Schizosaccharomyces pombe: one gene and its partners. The gene in region 1 interacts genetically with each later gene. Each region holds a gene or a part of one and is shown on either strand. Other genes may lie near its edges.

Region 1 (7,438 bases):
GCTCATGTAAATACTAACCGTTCTTCTAGTCGTATGTTGTCACATCTTGCATATCGTGCACATTTGGATGATGGGTTTGGACACGAAGTGCTCGATACCGATGCTTGTAGTATTATGTAACTGAGGAAGTTTTTTTTGAAGCTCACATTTTCTCTATTAAAACTATTTATGATTAATGATTAGACATTTTCAAGTAAACTTAATGTTGTGAAATAACTATATGATTTTACTTTTTGGGATAAAGTTGGGAATTTAAGCGAAGTAGTTAAAAGCAAGACAATTTCGGCATATTCATTTGGACAAATATTAAGTGCGTATGACTGCAGATGTTTAATAGTCATTTTTTATATAAGCTTTTCTTTAAAAGTAAAATATTAAATTTTAATTTTCTTGAAACATCGTCTTCAAAGGAAAACGGCAAGCATAGCAATCCCTCTTATTTTCTGTCTTCCGTCGATCGTCTACCTACTTAATCATAGTTTGAAGTTAAAATTGTTTTTAACGACATCATTTTTTTAAGTAACTGTTGTATTCGCATTACTCTGAAAAGAATTAATTCATACTTAGTTTTGATTAGTCATATAGTTCTGTTTTTACTTTTTAATTTCGCTTTCTTTTGCTGACAAAAATTAAGGCAGAATTTTTTACGCGAGATGACGATCGACTGATGTACGTTAGAAATGTTTGTTGTAACTTCCAATCTTAATTTTTTTTTTGTTTACATAAGCAACAAGATGATTTTGCACTTTTAATACTGCTTACTGAAACGACTTAGAATACGATGGATAATTGAAAGAAGGAATCTCACATAATTGACTAATCAATCAATATATGCTTACTTTACACTTAGTAAACATTCACGTTGATTAGGTAAGGCACGAAGGGTATATTAGGAGAAGAATGTAGCCAGACAATTGTACCAGCAAGTGTGGGCAAATAATCTGTCAAGTTTTTAATAAAGTTAACCGAGACCAAAAAATAGAACTAACTTTGGTTTTTACATACGGTCATTTAAATGGGATTTTTAAGGGAAACCGTTTTCGGCGAATTGGTCGAATACGTTTCTCACAACTCCAATGACAACGACTTAGAGAAACTGAGAGTATGGAAAGACATTAGCAAAGTAGATTCCAATGACTCATGCAGCTCGGAATCCGGCGATCTGAAGATTCATGAAGTTAATTCAGAGGGACACATTATTGTGCGATGGGATGATGCCAACGATCCCGAAAATCCCCTAAATTGGCCTTTGTGGGCAAAGCTTGTGGTGACTTTTGATATTTGCTTCTTAACGTTTGCGGTTTATGTGGGATCAGCAATTTTTACTCCAGGTATATCAGAAATGCAAGAAACGATGCACGTAGGAACTGTTCCCGTAGTTTTGGGATTGACTCTTTTTGTACTTGGCTATGCCATCGGTCCCCTAATTTTGTCTCCACTCTCGGAGATTCCACAAGTTGGTCGCCAAAAGATTTATGTTCTTTCTCTCCTTGTATTTGTGTGTTTACAGATTCCCACCGCACTGGGATCTAGCTTGGGCGTCTTATTACCAATGAGGTTTTTGGCCGGTTTCTTCGGCTCGCCAGCTCTAGCGACTGGAGGTGCTACTTTGGCAGATATTTGGCAACCATGGCTTCTTCCCTACTTTATGTGTTTTTGGGCAATTGGAGCCATCGGTGGTCCAGTTTTGGGACCGTTGCTTGGTGGAGCGATGGTCGTTGCTGAATCTTGGAGATGGCAATTTTGGCTTTTGATGATGATTTCTGGCTTTGCATTGATTGTTATCTTCTTTTTTATGCCAGAGACTTCTGAATGGCATATATTATATAAGAGGGCAAAGAGGTTCCGTAAGATAACTGGAAACGAAAATTATAGAACAGAGGCCGAATTGGCATCTTCCCATTTAAGTGTTGCTCAGCTTGCAAAGGAAACCATAATTCGTCCGATAATACTAAGTATTTCGGAGCCGATAGTATTGTCTTTAAATATATATATTGGGCTAATCTATTCAATTTTATATCTGTGGTTCGAAGCTTTCCCAATCCTTTTTACTAGCGTTTACCATTTTACCATTATTGAAAATGGCTTGGTTTACTTAGGTATTCTCGTGGGTGCCTTGATTACTTTAGCCTGCTATTTCGTATTCCTGTATAAAGTGATGATCCCAGCATTCATGGCCAGTGGTGGTGATTTTGCTCCGGAAGGAGTTTTGGTCATTTCATTTCCAGCAACGTTCTTTATTCCCATTTGCCTTTTCTGGTTTGGCTGGTCGGGAAGAGAATCGGTCCATTGGATTGTACCAATCGTCAGTACGCTCTTTTACGCATCTGGGGCCTTTTTAATGTTTCAAAGTATGTTTCAGTATTTGGCTGCTTCATACCCAAAGTACGTTGCATCTGTGTTTGCTGGAAACGACCTATTTCGTTCGGCTATGGCTGCATCATTCCCATTGTTTGCCCGAGCTATGTTTAATAATACAGGCCCTTCCTATGCTCCAGTTGCCTGGGGAAGTACTATCCTTGGTATAGTTGCTTGCTTAATGATTCCTATTCCTTTCGTGCTACATAAATGGGGTCTGAAACTGAGAAGCCGTTCAAAATATGCTTCTTAATTCCACTGTTGTTGAGATCATTTAATTATTTCCGGATTTGTCCGCGCGTTATCAAGATGTATATGATGAAGGCTATACTCCCTTGTTCAAAGATAAGTGTAATGGACACTTCTCTTTCAATTTTTATAGAGTTTTATGAAATTTAATGGTGTTATTTTGTGTCGCTAATTGAGGTATTGATTGATATTATATTATCTATCAGTTTAGAACGTTTCTAGACTTGAACTTGTAATTGTCTATTTAAATAAAATTTGGTATACAAAATTCACGTTCAATCTTAAATTTATTTTTTTTATAAAACAGAAAAGGTACTACAAGGCCAATAAACGAATGAAGTTGTGGTTGTATTGTATTTATTCTTGCGCTTTAAAGCCCAATTGAACTGTAGCTTTATTATTTTAAGCCCATTGAGCAATTCAAAAAGCACGCAGATGTAAAGAGTACAATTGAACCCACTATTTTAAATTCATGAAAGTAAATGGGTGTAATTTATTTGCGGATGCAACACATATTATTAATGAGAATAAATAAGTGTATTATAATTACAATAAGTAAAAATCAAGTTTAAGCAGAGTTACAGTGCTAATTGAATTGTTTGTATTTTCTGACTCGGGACGCCGTTCAAATTAAACATTCATTGAATAGTGATTTGTAGTGCGTTTCAAAATACATATTTATATGTAAAGAATACTACACTACGCTAATATGTATGTCACATGTCCTAATTATTCATCGTACTATATATGATATGATATTGAGATTGATTTTATTGATTGTCTATTTCTATCTATATTATCTAAATACTAAAAATAGATCTATAGCTGAACCTCGTTCCTCAGTTTAGTTATAAGCTATATTAATGACACAACTTAAATAGTATAATACCTATACTCGATCGCTACTTATATTATCTGTGTATTGCAATATAATAGGTCACAAGGAAAACTCACCGCAGTTTATCGTATCGTTTAAAACAGATGCCAAACTGCGTAACTGATGTTATAATGTTAATACGTTAATAAACGTTGTTAGGTTTTAACGCAAACGAACAAATGTGTTAATGTGTGAATTTGAGAATAACCTGGTATAGCTGTTTTCTGACCAAATACTTAATACTTCACCAGTTATAAAAAATGGCGGCCAAAACGGTTCAGTATGACAATATTTATTTAAATCTAAGTGAAAAACCGGGAAAACTTCGTATAGCCCCGAGTGGTCTTGGTTGGAAGTCACCTAGCTTAGCAGAACCATTCACATTACCTATAAGTGAGATTAGACGTTTTTGTTGGAGTCGCTTTGCGCGTGGATATGAGTTGAAAATCATTTTGAAAAGCAAAGATCCAGTCAGTCTTGACGGATTTTCACAGGAGGTAAATTTTTTTAACTAAGTGTTTTGTTTTTGAAGATTATACTAATTAAACATGCTCAGGACCTCGATGATTTGATCAATGTTATTAAACAAAATTTTGACATGGGAATTGAGCAAAAAGAATTTTCCATTAAGGGATGGAATTGGGGAGAAGCTAATTTTTTAGGCTCAGAACTTGTGTTTGATGTCAATTCTCGGCCAGCCTTTGAGATTCCTATTTCAGCTGTCACGAATACTAATCTTTCGGGAAAAAATGAGGTGGCTTTGGAATTCTCTACAACAGACGATAAGCAAATTCCTTCTGCTCAAGTTGATGAGCTTGTTGAGATGCGTTTGTATGTGCCCGGGACAACCGCAAAGGAAGATGCCGCTGACGGTGAAGAAGTAGAACAGAACGCTGCAAATTTATTTTATGAATCCCTAAAAGAAAGAGCAGATATTGGGCAAGCAGCTGGAGATGCAATTGTATCATTTTCTGAAATTCTTTTGCTTACACCACGTGGACGTTACGATATAGATATGTATGAAACTTGTATGCGACTTCGTGGCAAAACATATGATTACAAGGTTGAGTACAGCTCCATCAATAGTCTATTTTTACTCCCAAAACCCGATGAGCAACATGTGGTGTTTGTCATTGGATTGGAACCTCCTCTTAGGCAGGGACAAACACGCTATCCATTCCTAGTTACTCAGTTTGTTCGTGATGAAGATATGGAAGTGGATTTAAACATTGAAGAGACAGTCTTAAAAGAAAAATACGCTGATAAGGTAAAAGCCAGCTATGATCAACCTGCTTTTGAAGTTGTAAGTCAAATCTTTAGGGGCTTGACTGGCCGAAAAGTTACAACACCAGCAGAATTTCTTAGTCATGAGGGTCACGCTGCAGTCAAGTGTTCTTATAAGGCGAATGAAGGCCAATTATATTGCTTAGATAAATCATTTCTCTTCATTCCTAAACCTACGCTTCTCATGAATACATCCGATATTACTCGTGTAACACTTTCACGTGTTGGCATGTCTGTATCCGCTGCCCGTACATTTGATCTTACTTTTACCCTTCGCTCTGGTACGTCTTATCAGTTTTCGAACATAAATAGAGTTGAACAGAGCGCTTTGGTTGCCTTTTTAGAATCAAAACAAATTAAGATTCATAATGACTTAGCGGATGAAACACAGCAAACATTGCTTACATCTGCCTTGGACGATGAAGATGAGGAAGGGGATGAGGAAATGGAAGAAGCACTATCAGAAGACGAAGATTTTCAAGCTGAAAGTGAAAGCGATGTTGCTGAAGAATATGATGAAAATGCAGAATCTTCTGATGAAGAAGGTGCTTCTGGTGCTGAGGGTTCGGAGTAATGATCTATAAAATTGAGCAATGTTAAATTGGAAGTCTATTTGGATCAACTTTTCAGCCTTGTCTTTTGCTATTACAAATTTTTTATTTTAATTCTTCGGAATCCTCAAAGTTGGCACTCTTGTGCATTTTTATGTCACATAAGGAAACTTCTATCGATGAATCCGAGTGGTAAAATCCTTTTAGAAAAAATAACACTTACCGGTCAAAATATATACTGTTCCACAATTTTGACTAGGCAAAATTATTCCAAGGTCACAAGACGCCTAATGACTCGCATGTTTTCCTTTATACATTGCTATGACCTTTCTATTTTGAGAAAATCCTGAGATATCCATTTCAAAGTAGCATAAACGTCTTTCACAAAATCATCTCGTAATATATTAAGACAATCGTTTAAAAGTGTATTATTTATTTATACTTATGAGATTATTTGTAGATATCATCAGTACATGGACTTTTGAATGATGTCTTTTATTTAGAATATTAACTACAGTACCTATGGATGCATAGCCAAAACGTTTACGACACCGTTATTTAACATTAGTATGCAATAATGAGAAAAATAGCCTACAGCACCCGGGATTCCCATATTGTCTCCTACGATGGTACTAACAAAGCCATCAGACGCTTAGCTGCAGACGGGAACCGGTGTTTTCGCCTAGGTATGGCTGACAACAATACAACTGTGTTATAATTATTATAGTGCAAAATTGTTTGGATGTTGAAATGTGTAGTAAAAATAGAAGAAAGTGCATACTTTGCACATTGATCAGACGAAACGAAAAAAAAAAAAAAAAAAAACTATGATTGTGGTTTTAAGAATCTACCAATATTTTTAAAATCAATGCATCGAGCTTTCATTTTTCCGCGCCGAGCATCAAACAAATTGAAGTACTAGTCATAAACATAGATCATGTTTTGCGTTATCCTGTAATTGCTACGATAGCTTGTTAGTTGTTTTAATTTATAACTTGGAATACAACATAAATTACAGAGTAAGCGTTTATTTGATCATTTTTTTATTTATTACCATTTTATTTTATTAACATTCCAGTACTTCACTTTCCTTCATCGTTATGTTTTACACAAAAGTGCTCAAAAACATTTCAACTACACGATTATTTAGCAATTATGCATACACACAGCACCAATGCAATGGGAACTCGCCGAAGTTATCATTCATAATTTAATGTAATACCGACGATATCGGTATTCGCTTTAGTAAACTACGCTACAGAAACTTGTAAACGTGACTGCTTTTTTTGAAACAATATTTTGCTTTGCATAATCCTCTTTCACCTATCCAGGAACCAAAATGGCCAAGTCGAAGAATCATACTAATGTGAGTTTGTCTTTGTAGATTGTTGAATGAATGTTAATACTAACTGAGCTTAGCACAACCAAAACAAGAAGGCTCACCGTAACGGTATTAAGCGTCCTCAAAAGCACCGTTACGATTCTCTTAAGTACCGTGATGCTAAGTTCCGCCGCAACCAAAAGTTTGCCAACCGTGGTACCGTCGAAGCTATTCGTCAAGCTAAGGCCTCTGCTTAAAATGCTTGGAATTAGTTGTCTTAGTTTGGTTTCTACATAAATGGCATAATTCAACGTTTTAAAAATTTTGGATTTCTAAAATGAGAATCTCGTTTGATTTGTGCTTCTAAAAATAAAGGTAGTCTGCCGGTTAAATTTAAAGCGAATGCGTAGAGTAAGCTCTTACTGGATGTATATGAATAGCTGTGACGTTCTGTTAATCTAAAGTAAATTGTATCATTGCACTTTTTAACAAAATTACCCGTGAGATTAATTGCGGTTGAACTTGTTTTTCGTGCTAGACTGATGATTCGCCCTTATACATATTGGCTAACTTTCGGCTAATCTTCACCGAATTTAGTCAAGAATTGGGTGGTACAAATTTTCTATTAATTGATAGTACCTTAGCAGCAGTATAAATCTGAATTTCTTAATATTATTATTGTGTTCATAGACTTGTTAGTGAGTACTCTGCTAACTCGCCGGTAAATAGCTGTAATGATAATAAGCACCTTACTCTCTCTTACGATTAAACGGTGGCTTTATATTATCAAATCCCAAG
Region 2 (7,349 bases), on another chromosome or scaffold:
AAATCTTTAATAGGAAGATTATAGCAATTCAATCGATGTTCAATACAAAACTGAATACGGCTTGCGTTTGAAGATTGTATAAATTTCCGATATTTAATTATTTATGCAGTTTAAAGCTCGCATTCTCTTTCGAGTTGACACTGGCAATTTCATTATTTAACCTTTTCAACCCTAACTGAATATGATATTCTTTCCAATTTAAAGCTATTTTATTTATAACCAATTTTCAAAAAATAAATAAATAAATAACTAAAGTCAATTCACTAGCCCGCTTAGTGCACCTCTCAAGTTGAACAAAGAATAAGAAAAATAGTACTTGCCATTTAGTAATAATAAGTTGGCATAGACGAGACAACGTAGTAATTGTTGAAGGAATAAGGAACTTTTAGGTTTTTAGATGACGGTTCTACAGGAACGAAAAACTTTCTACCATGTTCATTAGACCATCGCCTTAAGAAATGGGGAAGTGAACAAATGAAGGACCGATTATGAGTAGCAAGCTGAAGTATATCTGAAACTAGATATAAAGGTGTGGGAAACACATATTTGACGGTCTCATTTTGAAACACGTGCCCAATGTTAGAAGACATTTTTTTTGTAGAAAAATCATTTTCCATACTTAAAACAGACGGTGCATTGATTCCAGGCAAGGATTTGTCAACGTGACACACGTCCATCAAAAGCAGACTGTGGTGCGGAAACTGTTTTGACAATCGTTCAAAAAATCTAATGGCTTTCGTAGGATAGTATGTGAGTTTTTGCGTGCTAAAAAAGGACCAAAATACTTGTTTAACACCGGAAAAGTACCGTTTAGCCCTGCTGTCGCTAAACCCTTGCTGAACATTAATCCTAGCTTGTTGAAATGCTAAATGGTAATTCAAAGAGCTAACTTTTTGGTGAGTATTTAGAGTGAAGAATTCGTTTAAAAAGTGCTCTGGACCAAGCCAGCACCGTTCCATCATCATGGCGCCGTTACTCTGACGAAATAAATCATGACCGAAGGAGCTAATTACCTGTAATGCCAATACAAAGCAAGGATTTGTATCAGTATGGTTCCACGTTAATGGATCACTAACATATATATCAATATGATCTCCATGCTTTGCATATCTCACAGATGTCAACATGCTCTTAAACCAGCTTGCTTGCCAAGAATTATGCAAGACTATATTGTATGTAGTACGTCCATAAACTTCAAGGTGATTTTTATAAAGATAATCAAGAATATCCAATGCTATTATTCCAGTCCCAGAATGAAAATCATATATTTTCAAATCAAACACCGGGAAATATCGAAGTTTATACTGCAACACCAAGTAGTTACTAATGGACTCAGAGAATAGAGACCTTTGCTTTTCATAGATGTTTAATGCCTTTTGAGGAATAGGTATTCCATGCAAAAAAGGATCAAATTCTTTGGAACATTTATGCCCTTCTTTCCTTAATACATGTACAGAATGGCTCAAATTATTGGTTGAGCCTGTCCAAAGTCGAGAATAGTAACCCTTGCTGGGATCAAACGTAGATTCATGAATATAATCGGCTAACGAAACCTTAGAATCGCGGTGCAACAAAAATCCATTATCAGTAGTATACCATCTTCTTGGGCCATGCAAAACTAGACCGGTATTTGTAAATGCAAGAGCACTAATTACTCTGCTTCCAAATAATAATGAAGCTTGATAAACTTGAGAGCGACTTAGCTTCCACATATAAAGATTCAGCATTTAACACTCTTTGTAGTATTAAAATTGAACAAAATTCATTATTTATTCGATTACTATTATTCGAAGTTGAGAAATAAAATGTAATAATATGATTTCATAAACTTACTAGGTGAAGTGCTTTCCTCTGTCAACTTTTGTTTTGCAAGTTTTAGAACGACTTTGGATAATAAGAATCGCTTATTTGCTGTATTATCTTCAAAAAAGACTGACCATTTTCACGACGCGTTTTTGGCGTGGTATATAAATGGTGTCAAGAAGCTAAAAGCTTTCATATTAGGTTGAAGAAGTACTGAATTTGTATCATTCAATAAATAGAATTTACTTTTACAAATCAAATCTTTTAATCTGATTTAGTGAAACGGGATCGACTTATAACGTGCAAAACACAAATACAGATAATACAATTGAAAATAAAGAGAAAGGTTTACTCGAATAAAGTAGAAACCTAATCAATTTGACTATTTTAAAACTAATGCATAAAAAACCCTGTATAAACTAATCATCGTCATCTTCAGCCTCCACAGTTTCGGCATTGCCGGAAAGAGTCGCATCCAAAGCAATTTTAGCGTTGGCTAAACGTTGAATGTGCTCTTCGATGGTATCCTTGACAACAAATTTATAAACTGTAACTTCTTTCTTTTGGCCAACTCTATGTGCTCTATCTTCCGCCTGAAGGTCATCGAATGGATTGAAAGAGACATCATAAAGAATAACCATATTAGCACACGCAAGATTGATACCAAAACCGCCGGCTTTGGTAGAAAGAAGAAATACATTAATGCTTTCATCAGCATAAAATTGATCGATGAGATCCTGGCGGAAATCGACTTGTGTAGAACCATCAAATCTTAAAAACTTTAGATTTAATGATTTCATGACAAGTTGAAGAATGTCCAAAACCTGTGTAAACTGACTAAATAATACAACTCTGTCGCCATTTTCAACAGCATTAGTGAGCAGTTTTTTAAGTTTTCTGACCTTTGTGGCGTCCATCCAAGGTTCATCTTTAAGTTGGAATGAATTGATAGACGGAAATTTGCAACACAAATTATGTAGCTCAATATCTGACATGTACTGCATGTCTTCAAATATATAAAGTTCGTTTGCCTTTTTGTATTGGGGTTCATTCATAATAGCTTTCGCCATTTGTCGAAGGATATCATCTTTATAATGAATTCGAAACAACATAGGGTGATCCGCAAGCTTACGAAGCTGTACAAGCACAAAACCAGCTGTGCTTTTCTTCTTTGCAAGATTTGCATTCGTATCTAAATTAGTTTTCATGACATTTTCATCCAATAAAGAATTTACACTTTGTTTGCTAGCGAAGTCATCATAACGGCGACGTTCCTCTTCGGAAAATTCGCAAAATTCTATAATACGCGTTTTCTTCGGCAAAGCATCTAACACCTGGCTCTTTTTACGGCGAAGGACAAATGGGGCCATCATCATTTTGGCTCTCGATACTCGCTGTTCTGAAAGCAATGCTCGTTCAAAGTCGCTTTCTGGGGATTTTTTCATAGTAAAAATGACATCTAAACTTTTCAAACCATAATCAAATACATGAGGAAGAATGAACGCTAAAAGCGAAATTAATTCTTTAAGATTATTCTGTAGCGGTGTACCAGTTAGCAAAACTCGAAAGTCGGCAGGAATACTCATCAAATGACGATATCTCTCAGACGCACGGTTTTTCAAGTAATGACCTTCGTCATATACACAAACATTGAACTTTTGGTTGCGCAAAAACAAACGATCAGCCTTACTAGTAGCGGCTAAACGGTAGGTGGTTAACATAACGTTATAAGAATCTTTATTAGAGTTGATACGTTCACGAATTTCTTCACGTTCGACTTGCGATCCATAATAAAGTTCAATTTTTAGCTTGGGACAGAACTTGGCAAATTCACGTAACCAATTCTCCATCGTTGAAGCAGGTGCAATTACCAAATGTGGCCCGTTAATATTTTTATCCATGAGTAATGAGAAAAAAGCGATGGTTTGACAAGTTTTACCGAGCCCCATTTCATCAGCCAGGATACCAGCCAGTTTGAGCTCGTACAAAAGGTAAAGCCAATTAATCCCAATGATCTGATAATCCTGTAGTTTGATATCGGGCGAAAAAGATGCAGGAGGTGTAGTGATAAACGAGGAATTTGCAGGCGTACCGAAACTTTTCATTTGATCAAAGTTGACAAGAGAAGTTTCACCTTCATCAGATGTAGCAGTGTTTGACAAGCCCCACGCTTCAATGCCGCGCTGAATTTTACCACCTAGCTGCTCACACTGACGAATAAGCGCATCCACTACGAAATAACCACGCATAATTTCCATACATATACCAACTAAACGTGGTCCAAGAGGAGTTTTTTCACGTCTACCTCGTCTACCTTTGGGAATCACCGGACGAGGTTGCTTAACGACCAAAGCAGATTCAAGATCTGGAAAAGGTCTTTTGGCAACCATAAATTCAGCTTCAGCAAGCGTACAACCTGTCATGTCAGCCAAATCCTGTGTTGAACAACGATTCATATATTTAAGAACTTCCTCCTTTAGAGCAGCAGTATCTATACGAGATGCCCAGCGATCTGCATTTGAATCATCATCAGAGTACATATCATCATTGCTGTCATCGTCAGCTTCAGGCTCATAAGTCTTTCGAGATGACAATGGCAAGGTAAATTGAAGTCCGTTAGTAAGATTATTAGCAGCATATCGTTCTCTCATTGTAAGACGATGTGGGGCTGGCTTTTGATTTGTAACCTGTGAACTCAGTGATTGAGACGATAATGAAAGAGGTAAAGAATCGCTTGCTTCTTCGTCATCCATGTAAGAGGGCATTTTGGGCTCTGTCTCAGAGAATTGAGATAAAGCATTGTAAACAGCGCCGTATGGATTTTGGGCATCCATAAATTGCGAAGGAGTGCCAGCAGAAGGTGTAGGAACAAGATTTTCTAACGAACCGGAATAATTATATGGTTGATTTATGGAGTTAGCAGAGGAAGTAAATGAGGGAGAAATATCACTCAACTGCTTGAAATGTTCTAAACTTGAAATGGGTGCAGTAGCCTGAACTCGTTTAGACATCTCTGAAAGAATCTGAAGTCGCGAATTCATACCACCCCCCATAACATTAGCTTTTTCGGTAGCTTCTGAAAGCGAATCAGCAATGAAAGGGGGGAAAATTGGCTTGCGCTTCACGTTGGAAGTCGCGTCGTAATGCGTGCCATCAGCGGTATGCTCTATTTTTCTTTTTCCATCCATAATTAAGTAACAATCAATGTATCCAAGCAAATGGCAAAAGAAAATTGAATCTAAAATATAGGATTTGGAGAAAAAATATGTAAGGTCACGTGTATATTATGAATAATTTTATCACACGAATTAAGAGCGCCGAGAATAGATGCAAAAAGATTGAAACTTTTTAAATTCTCCTAAGATTAATTAAAATGGAAGAAATAACGACAAAACAATACAGATTTCTTGTTTCACGCGTTTCTTGGTAACTCAAATAGTTGAAAACTTAATATGGGAACAGCAGATTACAAAAAATTTTGAGGGCCAAAACTTATTGCAATTTCTAAAACAAGAAACAATTCCTTTAGTTACGAGATGTGTATGAGTTAATTAGGATAGACCACCTTCTTCTAATACATAAGCGTTGTTTCGAGATGATATGCAGAATTTAATGAAGAAAAATAAAATGTAAATGAAAAGTAGACAAAAAAATTTTAAAATATAAATTTAAAATTTTCCTGATGTTTAAGATGAAGCAAACTTGGTAAGCTCTAGCAATAAACAAATACTCGCAATTAAAGATCACCAAAAACGACTTATACTTTGGCTATCCAAAAACAATCTTTGTTTAAAAAAAGAAAAAGAAAATTACCAAAATTAAAATAATAACACTCAATGAATCGGATTGTTAAAGAAAAAGACTCCAGTCACCCAATACCTTCTTTTGTATTATGGAATTATTCGGTATAATTCAAGAGCACACTATGCTGGTAGTTTGTTCTTGATGTGGCACGGGGGCGTGATATGGTGGTAGTGGTCCCAAATACTGATGCTAAATAATGCCTTAAACGTTGTAACGTAGTTTATGGTAAAGCTATATCATGATGGCAACTTGCTCTTTATATTACTAAACATTTAGCAAAAGATACCGTGGCGAAATTGTCTTTATTCTTTTATAGTTTTAATAAAATCATTAAACATAACTGCAGATACTAGAGATCTTTTGTCACTGAACCTTAAGAAATATGACAACAAATAGTGTTTCGTTATATTATGGCAGCGTACCACGTTATGTTTTCTAGGTGATACTGCAAAAGCTAATGTTAAAAGAGGATGGTTTGGGTTCTAGGATTATATTATTTAGTTAATATTTTATTAACCTATTTATTTAGATAAAATAGTTTTGTAAAACACCTTGCTCATCACTCAAAGTTATTTAGCAAAAATTTGAGTGTCGAGTAACAGGCTACTTTAAGGAAATATTTTTAAACGCTTTATAAAGTAACTATTTGCATACGATTGTAGTAATCAATACGAACATCAACTGCTAAGTAGCTACTTCGGGGATTTGAAGAAATAGAAGTCCATCTACTCATTGCATTGAATTCGTATAATATAATTTTTTCTTAATATTTGTCGTTTTTTCTGTCAAAAATATCGCATTGGTTGTTCAATTCTGCAAGAACAGCCAGGAATGCAGTTTCACTTTTAAATTAATATTTTTGAATTTGTCCGTTAGGAGGCCCTTCGTTTCTAAGAATAATTGTTTAAAAACCTGCGCTGTTTATTTTTTTTCCCTTTTTCTTCTTTGTTTTTGCTTCATTATTTTAACAACACCTATATTGTATACAAGTTGACAGTTAACGTAGTAGGAAATTAATATCCTGCTGGGTTTTTAAGTTTTCTTATTGCTGTGCTATAATTGAAATTTGCGTACCACTTGAAGGCATTGTTGGATCTAAACTGAAGGTGTGTTTGTATGCTGCATGTCAATAAATGCCAATTATGCGAAACAAGACGTCCTTCTATTTGCGAAAGCTGTTTAAAAAAGCAGCTTTATGATTTTTATCATAAACGTGATGAATTCTCTCGAGATATTGAGTCAGAGCTTGAAAAGGTTGCTAAATTGAAATCAGAAAGTTTCTCTCTAAAAGGAAAGATTACCCAAAAAGAGGAATTAACTTATCGACTACAGAACCTTGCTGCCTCTCTAAACGAAAAGAAATCGTTATCGTGTGACTTGCATTCCCGCAAACAGCTTATAGAAGATGACTTGTCTAATCGCAAAAAATCAATTAATATCGCGAGTCAAAAGTTAGCTGGCTTATCACATTCAACGAGTGACTATTTCTCTAAGGAATACCTTACAGCTTATCGCCGTTCTGAGCTACTTCAAAATAAATTGCATGAGTATCAAAAGAAGCTGATAACAAGGGTTTTGGATATGTATCAACTTCACTGGCAAAGGGATTTAGTGCTTAACACTCAGGGTTGCACTCAAAAATCTGCTCAAATGGGATCAGAGTTTAACCCTGACTCCATAGATTCATCTCTTGCGTATAGACTTTCAAAATTATCAATGGGCAATTCGAAATCCGACTTATC
Region 3 (5,174 bases), on another chromosome or scaffold:
ATGTTTTACACTTCGTAACTCGACTGTTAAACTTGCGTTCACGTTTGGTACCTTACCAAAAGTTTCTCTTACAGACATTTCCTCTTAACGAGGTTTCTCCCTCCCTCGATCCGAGAATTTCAAAATCTCTTCGAAACTTGCAAGATCTTTATAAATTGTTGGCCATACGGGATACCAGTTTTTCCAATACCACACCCTCTTCCATATCCAAGTTGAGCATTCAACCACCGACCTTCCAATTGTTTTCCACTCTAGAAACCATATACTTAGAATTAAAAGACTCCATGCCTCCTAATGAAGCGGCAGATTGGATGATAGCCACAACGTCTTGTATGCTCGCTCAGTTTGCTTTACACTCACCATATGCCTTTTTCCACGACATTCCTAGTATTTCGCATTTCTTAAATAAATGCCTTCCACCTACCATACTCGACTTGCTACAACAAATCCAAAGAAAGGCAGAAGCCAGCTCCATAAGTCCGACTACGGAAACAGCTACGAAAACACGACTCAAGTTTCAGTTTATTGAAATGATCTTTTCATAATATTATATTATTATTAATAGTAGAATTACTTTACAATCTTTCCAAACATATATAAAATCATTTGCATAGCAAACATACCAAACCACATCAACTTCGCACACTGGATTCTTTGGGATATTTTGAATGTGAATAATAATATTCCATTCACCATCAATCTAAATCACCAACATAAACAATAATAATAATAATAAATCCATTAATAAACCAAGATGCCCAGGAGTGGAACGGGAAATGGAGTGTGAGAAGTGTCTGTATGAGTGCCAATGACACAAATTATTTCCATACATGGCGGAAAGGAACAAACAGTCGAAAAAAAAGAAACTCAACTCTCCAACCAGTGGTGATAGCTATAAAATGCACAAGGGAAGAAGATTAACCAAGGGAAGAAAAAGCATCTCGTCCCCGTCGAATCGAACACAAAACCCAATTTGATCCAGTACGACTTGTGCAAAACAAAACACCTTTCAACTCCACGAACCGGTCATAGAAATGAAGAACCATGTGTAATGTAAAAAAAACTATCGCGTGATGTGCTGCACCTGTGTTGTTGTTGTCGTCATTGTACGGGGAATAAAATAGGAATGCGATACAAAAGGCGGAAATGGAAAAGAGGAGGGAACGAAAACGTTAAAAAAGGGAGGAGGAAAATATATATTTCCAAAAGAGCAAATAACCTACCCCCTTTTGTTTCGTGAGGTTGTCATTGTCGAAATGGAAGGCTGTGGAAACTCATCAGCTGACTAAAAGACGATTGCACAATCGTGCGATTCGCTTACTGAGCAGAAGAAGAATACTTGGTGACGGATTTGGTACCTTCGGTAACGGCGTGCTTGGCTAACTCACCGGGAAGAATCAAACGAACAGCAGTCTGGATTTCACGGGAAGAAATAGTGGACTTCTTGTTGTAAGCAGCAAGCTTGGAAGCCTCAGTGGCAATACGCTCAAAAATATCGTTGACGAAAGAGTTCAAGATACGCATGGCTTGGTTGGAAATACCAGTATCAGGGTGAACTTGCTTCAACACCTTGTAAATATAGGATGAATAAGTTTCCTTTCTGTTTTTACCACGCTTCTTATCAGCAGACTTCATGGTATCCCTAGGAGCCTTACCGGCGGGAGCCTTGGAAGCGGGTTTCTTTTCAGCAGCAGACATTTTTTACGATTTAAAAATTGGTTGTCGAGAGAATCTCAAAATTGATGGACTGAACTAAGTAATTGCAATTGTAGGAATTTGATAATCCTAAACTTTCGTGCAATATCAAGTTGTTGGTATTAACTAACATGCCTGCAGGCGACGCGATGGTTATATACAACTTGGGCATCACAACCCTAACCCTGGTGTTTAGCCATGCGACGCGGAAACGTCATCTACAAGAACGCGTTAGACGTGCTTATACGGAAGATTAGAATTAGTATATATATGAAGGGTGCGCGCTCCTATGTCTCCTTTTCCCTATATCGCGACTTTTCGTTGTTTAGGATACCTTTTGATCCATACACGTATTGAAATTGATATAAACAATTGATCCTTAGTTGATAAGGAGATTGATTGTCCGTAAAGGCTGAAATTGCGAGAAAATTCTGTTAATTTCACCAAATTTGATCCATTCGCTGCTTCATCGTTGACTGTTATCTTTTTTCATTAAAGAAGGAAAAATCTTTTTTTTTTAACTCAAACTTTTATTTTTTTTATTTAGTTTCAGTATTTTTCGTCATGTCTGGAGGTAAATCTGGTGGTAAGGCTGCTGTTGCCAAATCTGCTCAATCCCGTTCTGCCAAGGCCGGTTTGGCTTTCCCCGTTGGTCGTGTCCATCGTTTGTTACGTAAGGGTAACTATGCTCAACGTGTTGGTGCTGGTGCTCCCGTTTACTTGGCCGCCGTTTTGGAATATTTGGCTGCTGAAATTCTCGAATTGGCTGGAAACGCTGCTCGTGACAACAAGAAGACTCGTATCATTCCCCGTCATCTTCAACTCGCCATCCGTAACGATGAAGAGTTGAACAAACTTCTTGGTCACGTTACCATTGCTCAAGGTGGTGTTGTTCCCAACATCAACGCCCATCTTTTGCCCAAAACTTCTGGTCGCACTGGAAAGCCTAGTCAGGAGCTGTAAAGTCAGTCGTCAAGTAAAACATTTTGAAAGAGGATGAAGGGAAAGACATTGAAAAGTTGTAAAGGACCTTTCTTTTTTTACAACCCCGCAATACTTTTTTTGGTTGTTTCTCGCTTCTAAACCATGTTTGGTTCTTTTTCCTTTTGAACTTTTTGCGTCTTTCTTTTTCTTTGCTGTTATTGTTTTCGTTATGCCTGAACTTTAAGGATGTTTTAGATGCAGCCAAGTCATTCTCTACTAGTTACTTTTACTAGTACTTGAAGGGCTTTTGCACAAGTAATTCCTACTTGAACTGGCTCCTTTGGTTTTTTTTATTTCTTTTTTATTCTCCCTTAATTATAATATTGTATAGTAATGAGTATATTTTTCAAAATCCTATATGAGAGTATGTATCAAATGAATAAATAGATTGTAGAGTGGAGATGAACAGATTGATGAAAGGAGTGTCATTAAACATTGAATCGAGCAGTACATGCAAAAGAATAGTACTTAATTTTTTTTTACAATTAATGCTTTTGAATTTCCAGAATTTTTTTTCGATGCAGTTTTTTTACTCTTCTTTCGTGAAACGGTAGACGTTTGCTTCTTTTGAGTTTTTTCCTTCGCCGATTTCGAAGCTCGGTCGCACCAGTACAGCACAATTCCAACTAAAAGACCAAGCATTTCATAAATTGAGAATGCTTAGATTTGGTAATTTTCACGTTTATTTTCCCTTTTTTTCTGTCTATATTTCTTATGGGCTATTTAGTCATTACGTCCAACCGATTGGTTAATGAATTGTACCCGGAACCGGTAAAGCCAGTTAACGAGAATATGTAAGCAATTTTTGGCAAGTTGGTGAATTTCACAAATTCATTTACCCATAATGCTGCTTTTATCGTTATTTATGGATAGTGATTGCTGTACGTCTCTTTATATGTTTGAAAAGAATACAATAAATAGGAAGGAGTTTGGAAAAAAATAGCTAGGTTCTTATGTAACTGTTTGATTTTTTTTTTTTTTCTTAGTTTTTTATTTTAATTTTAATTTTTGTTAGAAATCGATTTCATCGTATCTATTTAGGATTTTTCAATATTTTTTCTTTTTTGCCAATGTATTTTTATAGTTGTATGAAAATTATAATACTAATATCAGTCAATAAATAGCCATTGCAGTTTATTATTTTTATATTATATCAAAAAATATTAAAACATTATAATAAAATTTTTGCATGGCTCTTAGAAAAGCATTTATCGTAAAATTCGAGTTTGTTGGATTGTAAAATAGTAAAAAAATTCCAAAATATTGAGAATATATTCTGGCAAAAATTTCAGATTATTATACGGGAAAAAAATAGCCATAGAACAATTACAATTGTTACAGAAGTACAGAATTAAAAAACAAAAAATTTCATTACAAACATAGGAAAACTATTTGACACTACCGATACAACCAGCTGACGATGCCGTTGATTCCGTTAAACAAAAGTGTTTGAATTATTTTTAAAATGAATTAAATATATTAGTAAAAAGGTACGAAGAATTGAAGTTTGTTAAGTCTAGCAAAAATTTAGCGATAAACTTCAACAGTAAAAGGATTTGGCTTTACCAAAGGTTGATCATTGCGCTTCAGATCAATTGACTAACCATTTTTGTACTCCTTTAATCCTGTTTATCAAGCTCATCCATAAAGGTTGAAGTGTACTTTGGAGGTTCATTAGATTGACTTTCACCAACGTTCTGGTTCAATGAGTCTGGTTTGTTTAAAAACTCAGACTCAGCATCTGGTTTAGGAATAGAAATATAATAGATAATCACCGTTATTATTATACCTATAACGCCAAGATTCAAAAAAACCCAACAAAAAAAAGAAAAACCATTGTAATTTTTTACATAACACACAATGTCGACAACGTAATTGAGGAAAAGGAAAATAATAGAAATATATAGAAGCCGGTGAATTATCTTATACTTTTCTTTTGCGACCCTTACACACTCTCCGTAGGTTAAATCCTTCTTCACATATAAATGAATGTCCAAGGACGCCATATCGAAACGAAAGAGAAAGAAAGATGCAAATTCAGCTATTGGAAATTAAACTTTATTCTTAATTGTAAACATTTACCAATCTTGAGTCAACAATAGACATAGGAAAATGAAATGCCTTTCCCGAACAGTGAGATTGAAAAGGCTAACTTCTCTTCAAACCCCTGCTAACTACTGCGTGCACAATCTATTAACCACAAATAATGAAATTCAATTAAATTAAGTTTTCAGCTACTGAAAAATCCATTTTTCTTATATTTTCAAATTTCGTGATTTAAAAGTGTTCAATTAACTGCGTTTTGTTAGACGAAAGATATGAGCCCAAAGGAATCCATCGAGTTGCAAGAATTCCAGTCGCTGCTTCAGGACGAAGCATATGAAGAGTTAATTAATAAAAAAACATATGAAGCTATTAAATATCGGAGTAATGATGGTATTTTACCAATTATTATTACTTTATTTATTTTCTCTTTTGTTATAAGTCGAATGATC

The links. Genes that interact genetically often act in the same process or in processes that back each other up.
Region 2: mutations in pob3 (region 1) and fft3 together harm fitness more than expected from each alone (negative genetic interaction), as found in Schizosaccharomyces pombe (2 studies listed by BioGRID).
Region 3: mutations in pob3 (region 1) and hta1 together harm fitness more than expected from each alone (negative genetic interaction), as found in Schizosaccharomyces pombe (2 studies listed by BioGRID).

What each region holds. Positions count from the first base shown.
Region 1 is NC_003423.3:3,165,665-3,173,102, forward strand, and holds pob3 (histone H2A-H2B chaperone, FACT complex subunit Pob3), read left to right. Parts: upstream 1-3,710; 5' UTR 3,711-3,744; coding exon 3,745-3,981; intron 3,982-4,040; coding exon 4,041-5,342; 3' UTR 5,343-5,681; downstream 5,682-7,438. Other genes in the region: iqw1 (WD repeat-containing protein), read left to right, coding at 30-120; plasma membrane spermine family transmembrane transporter Caf5, read left to right, coding at 1,016-2,611; rpl29 (60S ribosomal protein L29), read left to right, coding at 6,659-6,685, 6,739-6,897. UniProt on the Schizosaccharomyces pombe protein: Component of the FACT complex, a general chromatin factor that acts to reorganize nucleosomes. The FACT complex is involved in multiple processes that require DNA as a template such as mRNA elongation, DNA replication and DNA repair.
Region 2 is NC_003424.3:2,096,059-2,103,407, forward strand, and holds fft3 (protein Fft3), read right to left. Parts: upstream 5,748-7,349; 5' UTR 4,992-5,747; coding exon 2,223-4,991; 3' UTR 2,137-2,222; downstream 1-2,136. Other genes in the region: SPOM_SPAC25A8.03C (uncharacterized protein), read right to left, coding at 324-1,727; protein Atg14, read left to right, coding at 6,724-7,349. UniProt on the Schizosaccharomyces pombe protein: DNA helicase that possesses intrinsic ATP-dependent nucleosome-remodeling activity and is required for heterochromatin organization.
Region 3 is NC_003421.2:1,409,008-1,414,181, reverse strand, and holds hta1 (histone H2A alpha), read left to right. Parts: upstream 1-2,000; 5' UTR 2,001-2,259; coding exon 2,260-2,658; 3' UTR 2,659-3,038; downstream 3,039-5,174. Other genes in the region: exocyst complex subunit Sec5, read left to right, coding at 1-545; histone H2B Htb1, read right to left, coding at 1,318-1,698; SPOM_SPCC622.07 (uncharacterized protein), read right to left, coding at 4,299-4,685; SPOM_SPCC622.06C (uncharacterized protein), read left to right, coding at 4,998-5,174. UniProt on the Schizosaccharomyces pombe protein: Core component of nucleosome which plays a central role in DNA double strand break (DSB) repair. Nucleosomes wrap and compact DNA into chromatin, limiting DNA accessibility to the cellular machineries which require DNA as a template.